2 linked regions of the Tribolium castaneum genome follow. The protein of the gene in region 2 binds, or shares a complex with, the protein of the main gene of each other region. Links are inferred from orthologs where the notes say so. Each region holds a gene or a part of one and is shown on either strand. Other genes may lie near its edges.

Region 1 (5,005 bases), on a different chromosome or scaffold from region 2:
TGAATTCACGAGCCGCCACTGAATCGGCACTTTTTAATAGTGGTCCATTGAATTAATTTTGAATTTTAACCTTGATTTTAGGCCGGAACCGCAAAACGTAAAATTACTCAAGCGGTTAGGGAATTTTATTTATTTGGAATTTCGGGTTTTACTACTTAAAATTCAGGTGTTGCGGTTTTCTTAATATTAGCAATGCTAATTTTTTAAGAAGATATCGATCACTTTGTAGTGTCAACGTTCGCTAAATAATAATTCTAATTCTGGACTGTACTATTAAATGATTTATTTTTAACGTAGCCACTTTTTCCGTGTATTTTCTTCCTTATTTTACTCTTTACAAACAAAGACATAATCGCGTGCGGCCGTTTCATGTTTGACCTATCGAAGTTTTATCACAAACGCGACAAATTAATGTTTACTTGACTAGCATTTACCTATCAAGCAGGTCAACGGACTAAATAAAGAAAAAACTATTACAACAGATGTAATACAAGAAAAAATTGCGTCAAGTGATATCACGAATGTTTTTCTTCGGATGTCGGTGTGTTAACAACCTGACGTAGTTCAGATAATGCACACTTTGTGACGTTATACGAGGCGATAAGTTAGTCTTTTAATCACTTAGTGGTGGTCGCCTATTAATAACAATTGTAAATATTTTTAATTAATGAATGACACAAGTGGAACACCGCCAGATTACTTAATTCGTAACATATGCTGACAACGTAACTTTAAAAATAACACACCCTTTGAATCAAATGGGACCATCCATCAACTGATGTAATTATTTACCTAAGTACCCAATTACTCACTTGATCTAAATATACACAATTCATAAAAGACTAACATAAATATTGACAGTGTTTAAACAAGATTAGCTCGCAATTTCCAGACTTACCTGTAACGATTTGTTCCTCCTGGGGTTTATCCTCGTTTCTTTTGAAAATAAAATCACCGAGGGCCCTGGAAAGGGCCAAGTTCCCGTTAACCCTGTTGTAATCAACAAACCCTCCCGCCGCTACGATCCTGTCGTACTCCTCCTTGTTGTTCGGCTTGTGGTCGTTCGAAAGCGGCTCCGCCTTGCCCCCAATGCTCGCCACAGCTCTAGAGTCCCCCACGTTGGCGCAGTACAACGTGCCATTTTTGATAATAATAGTGACGGCTGTGGAGCCCGACTGCTCGTTTCTCAACGACTCATCCTCCAGCATGACCCGGTCGATCTCCAAGAAGGCCTGCTTCAGCCCCTCCTCGATCTGGCCGTTCTTGTACTCCTCCCGGTTCGTGATAAACTTGTGCAGGTGCTTGCCCGCGTACTCCGAGATCTTGGAGCCCCCATGCCCGTCGTAGACCGCGAAAAACGCGGCCTCGGGGTCGTCCGGCAGGGACAAGATGTGCGTATGGGAGTCCTCCATGTTGATGCGCCAGCCCTGCATCGAACTTGAGCCCACTTGGAAATTGGCGTTTTGGCAGCATGCTGTGTTCTTGGCAGTCACCGGTTCGGACAAAGTTTGACCCATAGTACCCCTGAAAGGGCGATAAGTCCGCAAAAAGCGCAAAAACACGAGGCAAGCGGGAAAAAACCGTCGCTACTTACTCAAAATTGAACTCTGCTCTTTGGATGGGTTTTATTTAGCATACTTGTGCTAAATCGAATCGCATATTTTGCGTACGCTAATTAACACCGCTTTTTGCTGTTGTGTGTCACGAGATATGGAACGCAATATTTAGGTTAATCGGGAGAGAACTCTTCGAAAAAAGAGAAACTTGACGTTTGAATGTCGAGCTGGGACGCGGCCGGCTGAGTGCGTCATCGCCTGTGCACAAGGCCGAAAACTTTTTTATGTCCTAAACAATAAAAATGTGCGGCACGTTCTTCAAATAAAAACTATTGACAATAAATTCGTTGTTACTTATTACTAATTAAATTACGATTTGATTTTACAATCTTGGCGAGGGAAGCGCCAACATTGCGACACTTAATACACCAGCCAAATTTAAAAACCAAACTTTTACGAAATTGGGGGCAAGTGAATCGGGGTTGACACCCAATTAGGGTCATTTGCGACTTTTGCTCGTTCTGTATAGTGTTTCTTTGCCGCTTTCAAAGTCCCCCTAAAAGCGCAGCCTTTTGATTACGTTTGCTGCAGTTGGCACAATTGCAAGATGGCGTCCGAGAAACCCGGGAGCATTGAACAAGGTAAAGCATTTTTAATAAAAAATCACCCTGTAAATGTTACTTTTGGCTCAATTTAATTATTAAACGATTGTTGAGGCCTTGCATGGACAGTTTACGCGAAATTGTCGGCTAGCGTGCGTGGACAAGTTCGCATTTTAAACAGAGTGGCTTATGTCAATCTGTCAAAATATAATTGATTTGTTGCATTTCCTAGAGCAAGATCAATCTTTGAGCGATCTAGAGCAGACCTTAATGAGTATGGAAAATCTGGATAGAGCCTCTCCAGAAATTTGGCCAGAGAAGTGTAAGTAGCGTTGCACATGTTTGTGGGATTAGGGCAATAATAGGGTTTCAGATCCAGGAATGACAGATTTTGTAAACAGTTTCACGCCACCAAGTGCCGTAAAACTGCCTTACTCGAAGGAATTGAGTCAGGATGACCAGAATTATCTGCACCGTAAGTTTGGATTAGTTTTTGTGTGATTGTAGAGAAGAGTGTGGTTTTTGTAGAATTAGCAGCTCTTCCAACAGCTGGACTGATTTCTAAAGTCAAGGAGTTGCATGATATTGCATATCAGTTGGGTGTTGAGGAATCGAAAGAAGTCACAAGGGGGAAATACTTAAATGTTTTTAAGCCCAGGCAGAAGCAGAAATGATTTGCAATTTGTTACCTAAGTAGAGGTTCCAAATAACGTGGAAGTTATAAAAAGAGCAGGGGAAATATATTTGTACATAGGATTATAAGTTTAAGTTTAAAGAAGTGATTGTACGTTAATTTCCTGGAGAAAATCATTTTTGTAATGTATTATTAAGCAAGTGCTTCAAAAGGATTTATGTATTATATTGCACTGCTGAAGTTTCGTTTGTATAATAAAAATCGAAAATAAATTTGGTTTTGTAAAAGGTGTCTTCATTTTCTACAATTAAAATTTTGTTCCCCGTTAGCTCACCAAAACAATAATGAGGTGATGCATTATTATTATTATTATTATTATTATTATTACTGAACCCAGCAGCTTCCTAGATTAAAAATATCCGGTGGAATGTAAATTGATAATTATTTTTGCAGGAGATTAAGCTCTCTAATAGGGCCTTCAACTGTAAAAAATCATGTTCGGACAAACATTCCTTAGGACCTTAACATTTTTTTAATTTTTATAAAATTTCTCGATTTTGCAAATTGCGTTAAAAAACTCGTATTTAAGGATTGCTCTAATTAGTCAAATTAATAACTCATTTGTCCAGCAAGAACCAGAAGAAGGTTTAGAACATTCTTGCCAGGAAAAAAGGAATTAAGGATGAGGTAAACAATGATTATTAGAAAATAAAGGAATTATTTATGAAAAAAAAACAACACATAAATCAAATATTTTTTACTTGGCGTTAAATAAGATGCACCTACCTTCATATGGTTTCTGCGTTGGCTACTGTTTGTAGTTTGAAAATGTAAAAATTTTTACTTTTATGAATTTTGTGTCCGTTTCTGCTCTTTTAGAGCGTTATTAATTATTATTGAGTAGGTTTAAGGGTAGACAAATCTTCCTTGAGTCAACGACATAAACTTTAGTGTGATTTATTGAAATGTCTATTGGGCAAAAATAAACTTTTCGTGTCAAACATTTACATTAAAAAGGGTGTTTGATCGTTTATAAAGGGCGTGTACAAGCACAAGTACAACAACTTTTCTGTAAAAGCATTTTGCAAAATTTTTATTCATTATTTTCACTATTTTCCTTCTTTCCGGTAATAACTGATTCACTCTTCGGGGACTATTTTGAATATTGTAATAAATTTTCAAAGTTTGCGAAGAAAATGTTTTTTCGCGTAGAATGGCTGCAACCAACAATCCACTCTTGAAGAAAAACGCTTTAATTTTAATTAAAAACCAAAAGTCACTACTTATTTTCATTGAATTACATTGAACACTTATAAAAATTGTTAGTTCCCTTCATGTTGTTGAAAAAAAATATTTTGACTGCTGTTTGATGTGAATTATGTCCTCGCTTCGTTTTAAAAACGGCCTGAACTTTTGTAACTTTACTCTGGCTTGAATCAATGCTTTAGCTTCAATAATGCCGTTTCCATATTTTATATCCTGACCTTGTAATGGGCCTACAAAATCTCAATCAGATTCAATAGCTTCGTCCTTTTACAAACTCTCATTTCCTGCATTATATCCAAAAAAAAAACTGTCCAATACGCTTAAAAATTTCACAAAGAAAGTCGAAGTAAAGATATAAAATAGTGTCGTAACATCAATTACTAAATTTGTTTACCGTAATAATGTCAATAAAATGTTACACTGATCATTACAACATTATTTATTTAATGGAATTGCTACAACCATCTAGGTCCATTTCGCATAAATATAAAACCTACGCTCGGACCCAATTATCTCAAAACTACACCACCTTCTTCGGCCCATTTTGGGCGCTCATCCGCCATTCCGTCCCGAAAAAATTAACGGATGCATAAAATAGCAAAAACTTTCTTATTTGATTCGTTATCCCGTCGCGTCGAGTTGCACGAAGTCAAAAGTATGCAAATACCTTCTTGCATTCTTCTCAAAGCCAATCTTCATCTATAAGTGCGTTAGATAGAGATAGGTGTCCAGGTAAATATGGTAGTGGGAGACACATTCACCTGACTTTAGACCGTGCTGTGGGGACCCCAGCCAGCAAGTTTAGTTTTGTGTTGTGAATGCCGAGTGAGTTCGCCGGTTATCAGAGTTTTTGTCTCAGTGAATCGTGTTTTCTCGACTAAATCTCTTATCTGGAGATTAATTTATCGGAGAAATCTGGGTAATATTATTTATTAAACTAATTAATC
Region 2 (5,471 bases):
TTTCAAATGATAGGTGAAAATGCTGAAATACTCGGCTTTACTGAAAGATATTCAGTTATTTTTGTTGACAGAGATAAGCTGCATCAAAAGTAAACTCCCTATTTATGTTTCCTCTTTGATTTGAGGGCTTATTATAAGAACTTCTTTGAAATAAATATTTAGACGTCAACTCAAAGAACACTTCTCCAAAAGAAAAAACTTGTAAAGGCTTTAATTAAATATAATTAAGCACAAAATCAGTTTCGCTGCGTGAAATGCGTGCTATTTTTCGTAAAGTGCATAAATTTTGAAAAACTTTTTCGGAAAAAATGATGTACGAAAAGTGCCACGAGCAAATGAAAAATGTATTTTGACAAAATTAAATCACAATTTTATCAATATTTCAAAATTGAAAAAACGACAAAAATCATGTAAAGGTGACCAAGAAAGGGCGTAATTCTAATGAGTTTTCATCGAAATTGAAATAAATTGTCCTTAAGCCGCTTTAAACAAAACATTTTCGAAAACTTTGCAATAACATTGTCATAAAAAGCAAATGCTTCACATGGTTTAAACCATACAGATTACAATAAACAGTTCATTACACTTGGCAATAAACAATAAATTAATGAACGCGTTTAATTTCAGAGAAGCCACACAAACCAATAAACTAACTGGGAGTGAAGTATTTTTACTCGTATTTTCAGTTGTGAATGATGGGATTGGTGTGAAAACGACAGTTTCTCCTCTTCTTTTGATTGTTCTAATTAAAAGCCGCATTCCTTGCATTGTTAAGCATCGTGTTTTAAGACGAATTAATTACTATAGCTCGTAGTAATTAGCCCAATTGAATAATACATTAATAAAGAGAAGAAGTGACGAAGAGGCGAGAAACGAAAGAAAATCGATGGCAAAAACCGAAATTGCGATAAAGATAAAACATATCGCGATCGAATTGATTTCGCGAGGCGTGTAGGCTGCATTTTCGCATCAGCAGACCGCGAAATAATTAAAAAAATCAATAGCAACTAAAGCCTTACCATGCTTTGACTCGGATCAAAACCTCGCCTTCGTTGAGAGCAGGCTCGGGCTTTTTGAGTATTTTGACCGACTTGAGGCCTCCGAATCCGTTGAGGACGACAGCCCTCATTTCTTTCGGGGCTTCTTTTTCTTGTTCAGCAACAGGTTCGGCTTCGCCGGTGCCGTTCTCTTTGACGTCCTTTTCTTCAGTTGGGGCCTCGGTCTTCTGCTCCTCTTGCGTAGTGGGGGCGGTTTCAGCTTGTTCAGACATGGTGCAAGTTTGGAGAGCACACGCGGAGGAAATAACGGTTATGCACTTTATGCCGGCCGGCTTCTCGTTGAACAATGAAGAATGTAACAGGTGCTAGTCGCGCTTAGGGCGCGCCAGTCGCGTGCGCAAGCGCCTTAAGCCAAATAAAAACAAAACTACCCCCAAAAAGATGCAACTGGGAGAATACTTGGTAAATATTTTGGCAGAGCAAATGTTAAATAAGTAAATACTCGAAGATTTTAATTCAACAACGATGCTTCAAGCTAGCGTTTGGAGCGGCTTCTGGTAATTTTAAGCGCCACCCTGTATATCTTCGAGTCAAAAAAATCAAAAAATTCTTGTTGCGAAATTAAGTCAAATCGTAACAAGAAAAAACACAAACTAACGGATTTGGGATAAAAAGTAAATGTTTATTAATTGGGTTAAAACAATTTGCTTTTGAAAGCCTGGCAAAACGTGTACTATTTTTTTCTGTTAAAAGAAAAATGACTTGCTAAGGTCTCCTCATGTTTGAAGCTGTAATATAAACATTAGAACCAAGGCTAAAGTCCACAAATTTTGTAGAAAAGATGTTAAGTTAATCCTACTGACTGCGCCATTTAAGTTTGGAAAAAATATACTTGATAAGACGAAGATAATTTTAGAAATGGATATAAGGACAAGGCTAATAAAAGTTCTTCAATCATTTTTGGACAAAAAATAATATTCGGCACTTGTGGTTGTAAAAGGAGACTTAAACAAACATGGTCATTCAATTGGTCAATTTATTCAAAATAGACGTGAAGTTTACTTCGTACAAACCAACCTACGACGAAATTTTTGCTGATAAAGTAAAAAGGCAAACACACGATAAAACTTTGACGTAATTTAATTAATTAAAACGAAAAGTTGAGATAAATTATTTTAGATGTTTCAGTACTCGACCCTTTGAAGGGAAACTTCCAAGCATATCACAAGAACAGTGAACAAAAACCAGACGCCAGCATCAACTGGTGCCAAAATCGAAAAAATTAATATTTTTAGAATTAAAAAAGTTTGAATTATGCTAGAATTAAACTTTATACATAATAAACGTTAAAATCTAAATGAAACTTCATTCAGTGTTTTGATTTCTTCTTTCTTCAATCAAAGACTGCACTTTTCTCTTTGCCAGACGTTTCGAGTCGGGCAAGTCGTTCTCGCCCTCCACTAGCAATCGTTTTCCCGTCACACCATTGCCCCTTATGGCCTTATTGATGTCTTTCAAGTCCTTAGAAGGACTTCGGCTGAAATAGTAGTTCAGGACTTTGCCATTGCCGAAAGTCAAAGTCGGACTTTCCAGTGGCTTGATAAAAATGTTGTCAAACACTTGGACCACTTGCCCCCTGGACGCCGGCAGTGGACTCAAAAGTATATCTCCGATCTAAATCACAAAAATAAGACGTTACAAACAAAACATTTTCGAACTTACGTTTTCCTCGCCTCGGACTACGAATTTCTGCGCAAACTTTTTCATTGCTTGAATGATCACTTTGTTATAAAACTGTATCAAGTCACCCCATTCTTCCGGAATTTCGGTCGTCTCCCCATCTGAAATATTCCGTAGAAAAAACGCAAACTGCGTCATTTGGAGCTTACCAACAACCACGACTTTTTTACTGCTTATCAGAACGTTGCGATAAATGTCACTCGTGGCCTGAGGCTGGCTTCTATAACTTTTAATAATTTCCGTAAAATTTTTGTTGAGTTTCGTAAGTTTGCATATCATGTAGACGGCACACATTAATAGCTGGTCCAAATTGCGGTCTTTCATCAATTCGCAGTGGTTTTTGCGAACCAGTTCCTCAAAGACCGTCCAGATTTTGCGCTTAGTGTCCGTGTTTGTGATTTTTAAGTGTGTGCACAGGTGCTCCATCCGTTCTCCAGATAAATTATAGAACTGAAATTACGAATGTGTCTTTAGTGGACATCTGTTAGTAGGGTAATATAAATTTTGTTAGCACTTGTGCACGGATTTATGGTCATTCTTTACCCATGACGACCGCATATAAAATTTTAACAATTCACGGAAAAAATAAAAGCGTTTAATTACTACACTGAAATAAACCCAATTCTAGAAAGTAGAGCAGATTTGTTTAACACTTGGATGCCATTAAACCGCAAAATTATAAATTTTAACGGGACTTTACTTACTTTCCTGAATACTATTGACACACCTCCTGTTCTTCTCGGCCTGGCTTGAGCTACATTCTCCTGACGTTGTGGAGTCGTCTGTTGAACTGGCACCGGGGTGCTCTTTTGCGTTTCACTATTTACGATAGGAATCATGCGAGTATTCCCAGTACGATCTTTAATCACTAAAAAACGCAAATTTTGATAAATGCGTTAATTTAGTTGATTAAAACTTACTCAAATGAGTCGTTTGGAGTAGAGATTGACCTGACTGAACTGTAGGAAACAATTCTCTATTCACAGCACTGCTGTGTGCTACTGGTGACTGAAACCGGTCTGTTGCAGAAGGGCCAGGCGATACAATTTGTCCTACAATTATTTTTGTAACAATCGTATAACATAAAAAATAGCAAAAATACTTGGTTCAGAATTGAGAATACTTCTCAAGGTTAAGTTTTCAGAACTTGGTTCATTTTGCATATGCCCTGGCAAAGCCGTCTCTTCGAATTTCGGTACTTCCCTATCGGAAGATGTTATTGCTTCCCAAATTAAACTGTCTGATTTCCAGACCAGCGAGGAAAGTATAGTTTCCTCGATCTAAAAACGACAGTTTCATACAAAACAGAGTAAAGGTGGAGAACAGAATGAGAAACAGAAACTGCTGACTAATTATAATAAATTATCAGTGATTGAAATAAATCATAATCCTTCTTCACTGTTTGCTTTATATGTAGAAGATATCTGAAGCTTTAAAACAAAATATTTACTCGTAAATTCGACAATTAAATATTCAAATAAAATACAGTTATGCATTTCTTATTATATGGCCCTTGAAAACTTTCAAAAATTGATTAAAAGAAGAGGATTTTTATAAAACCTGTCTACAAGATAGTGTAGAAAAATCAATTTGACCTAATTTCTTAATGATTTTTCAGTCCAGTTTATCAAAACGTCGCGAAAAACCTGACTATTGAGCTCAAAAATGTGTTTTATTTCTCGAAAAAGATTAAAATAATTGCGTTTCTTGATGAAAAACACGTTTAAACCCTTAAAAAAAGCAAAATAAATGACATTCTCAACCGACTTTGACGATTTTTCTGGCAGAGATTAGCGAAATTTAGCGAAGAAAATGAGTTTTTAGCTCAAACACGTACTTACCGCTTCAATTTAAAGATTTCGTCTTAAATTAAAAATTTGCTAACTAGAAAATATACTTAAACCATTTAACGTAATTTAATTTTTTAGTTCAAAAAAAACCAGACAATAACACCGTTTTCGAGCACAATAATTTAATTTCTTTAAACTTGCGCCAAAATTCTTTAAAATAATTGTGTCCTTACATATGCAAACCGTGTTAAAACCCTCTTAAATAGGAAATAAATGTCACTGCTAGTTTTTTTTCTGCCCCAGTTCAGCGTAATTTCACGAACAAATTTAGTTTCTAGCGCAAACACGTGTTTAAATGGCGAAAAATTACACTATTTTTGAACTAATTTCATAATTTCCGCTTTTTTTTAATTTGACGAACTAATTTTATTTAGAGGTGGAGAGTATATTGAAACATATTTTGGTCTATTTTTGAGAAAATTTTATGATTTTTTGCACAGTTTCACGAAATCTCAAATCAAAAAAACATCCCGACTGTAATGTTCTTACCATATTAAGGTGTTTGATAGTGTCCCTTGAAAGCTTATCTCTTGAGCGAATGATAAGTTCAATCACTTTAACAAAATTATATGGTTGTATTTGCAGTGCTTTCAATATCCAGGGGAACCTTTGCCGACTATTGTATGAATAAATAACAATTTCTAAACAACAAGCAAACATACATTCGTAAAATACGTCTTTTTCCACAATGGCCTAAAAAAACAATAAAAATACTACAGAACAAATAATAATTAAAAAACATACCGATAAATCAGCATGTATTGAGCGCTCATTCTGCAGAATACTTTCAATAAATTTATAAAACAAAGTTGTCGCGAGCTGCAGTCGCCTTTGTGCTACTTCTCTTTGGTCAACTGGGTGGCCTTCCAGAAACCTCTCCCCC

The links. The genes of interacting proteins can lie anywhere in the genome.
Region 1: retinoblastoma-like protein 1 (region 2) and lin-52 share a complex: the UniProt entries of both Homo sapiens proteins name them as parts of the DREAM complex. The link is inferred for Tribolium castaneum from reciprocal best matches to the Homo sapiens genes RBL1 and LIN52.

Annotation. Positions count from the first base shown.
Region 1 is NC_087402.1:6,134,428-6,139,432, reverse strand, and holds lin-52 (protein lin-52 homolog), read left to right. Parts: upstream 1-2,049; 5' UTR 2,050-2,163; coding exon 2,164-2,197; intron 2,198-2,390; coding exon 2,391-2,480; intron 2,481-2,531; coding exon 2,532-2,633; intron 2,634-2,686; coding exon 2,687-2,832; 3' UTR 2,833-3,079; downstream 3,080-5,005. Other genes in the region: probable protein phosphatase 2C T23F11.1, read right to left, coding at 899-1,517.
Region 2 is NC_087396.1:19,759,902-19,765,372, reverse strand, and holds the end of retinoblastoma-like protein 1, read right to left. Parts: coding exon 5,333-5,471; intron 5,282-5,332; coding exon 5,078-5,281; intron 4,019-5,077; coding exon 3,841-4,018; intron 3,791-3,840; coding exon 3,659-3,790; intron 3,607-3,658; coding exon 3,443-3,606; intron 3,189-3,442; coding exon 2,888-3,188; intron 2,840-2,887; coding exon 2,721-2,839; intron 2,673-2,720; coding exon 2,364-2,672; 3' UTR 2,017-2,363; downstream 1-2,016. Other genes in the region: synaptic vesicle membrane protein VAT-1 homolog-like, read right to left, coding at 1,020-1,270. UniProt on the Homo sapiens protein: Key regulator of entry into cell division. Directly involved in heterochromatin formation by maintaining overall chromatin structure and, in particular, that of constitutive heterochromatin by stabilizing histone methylation.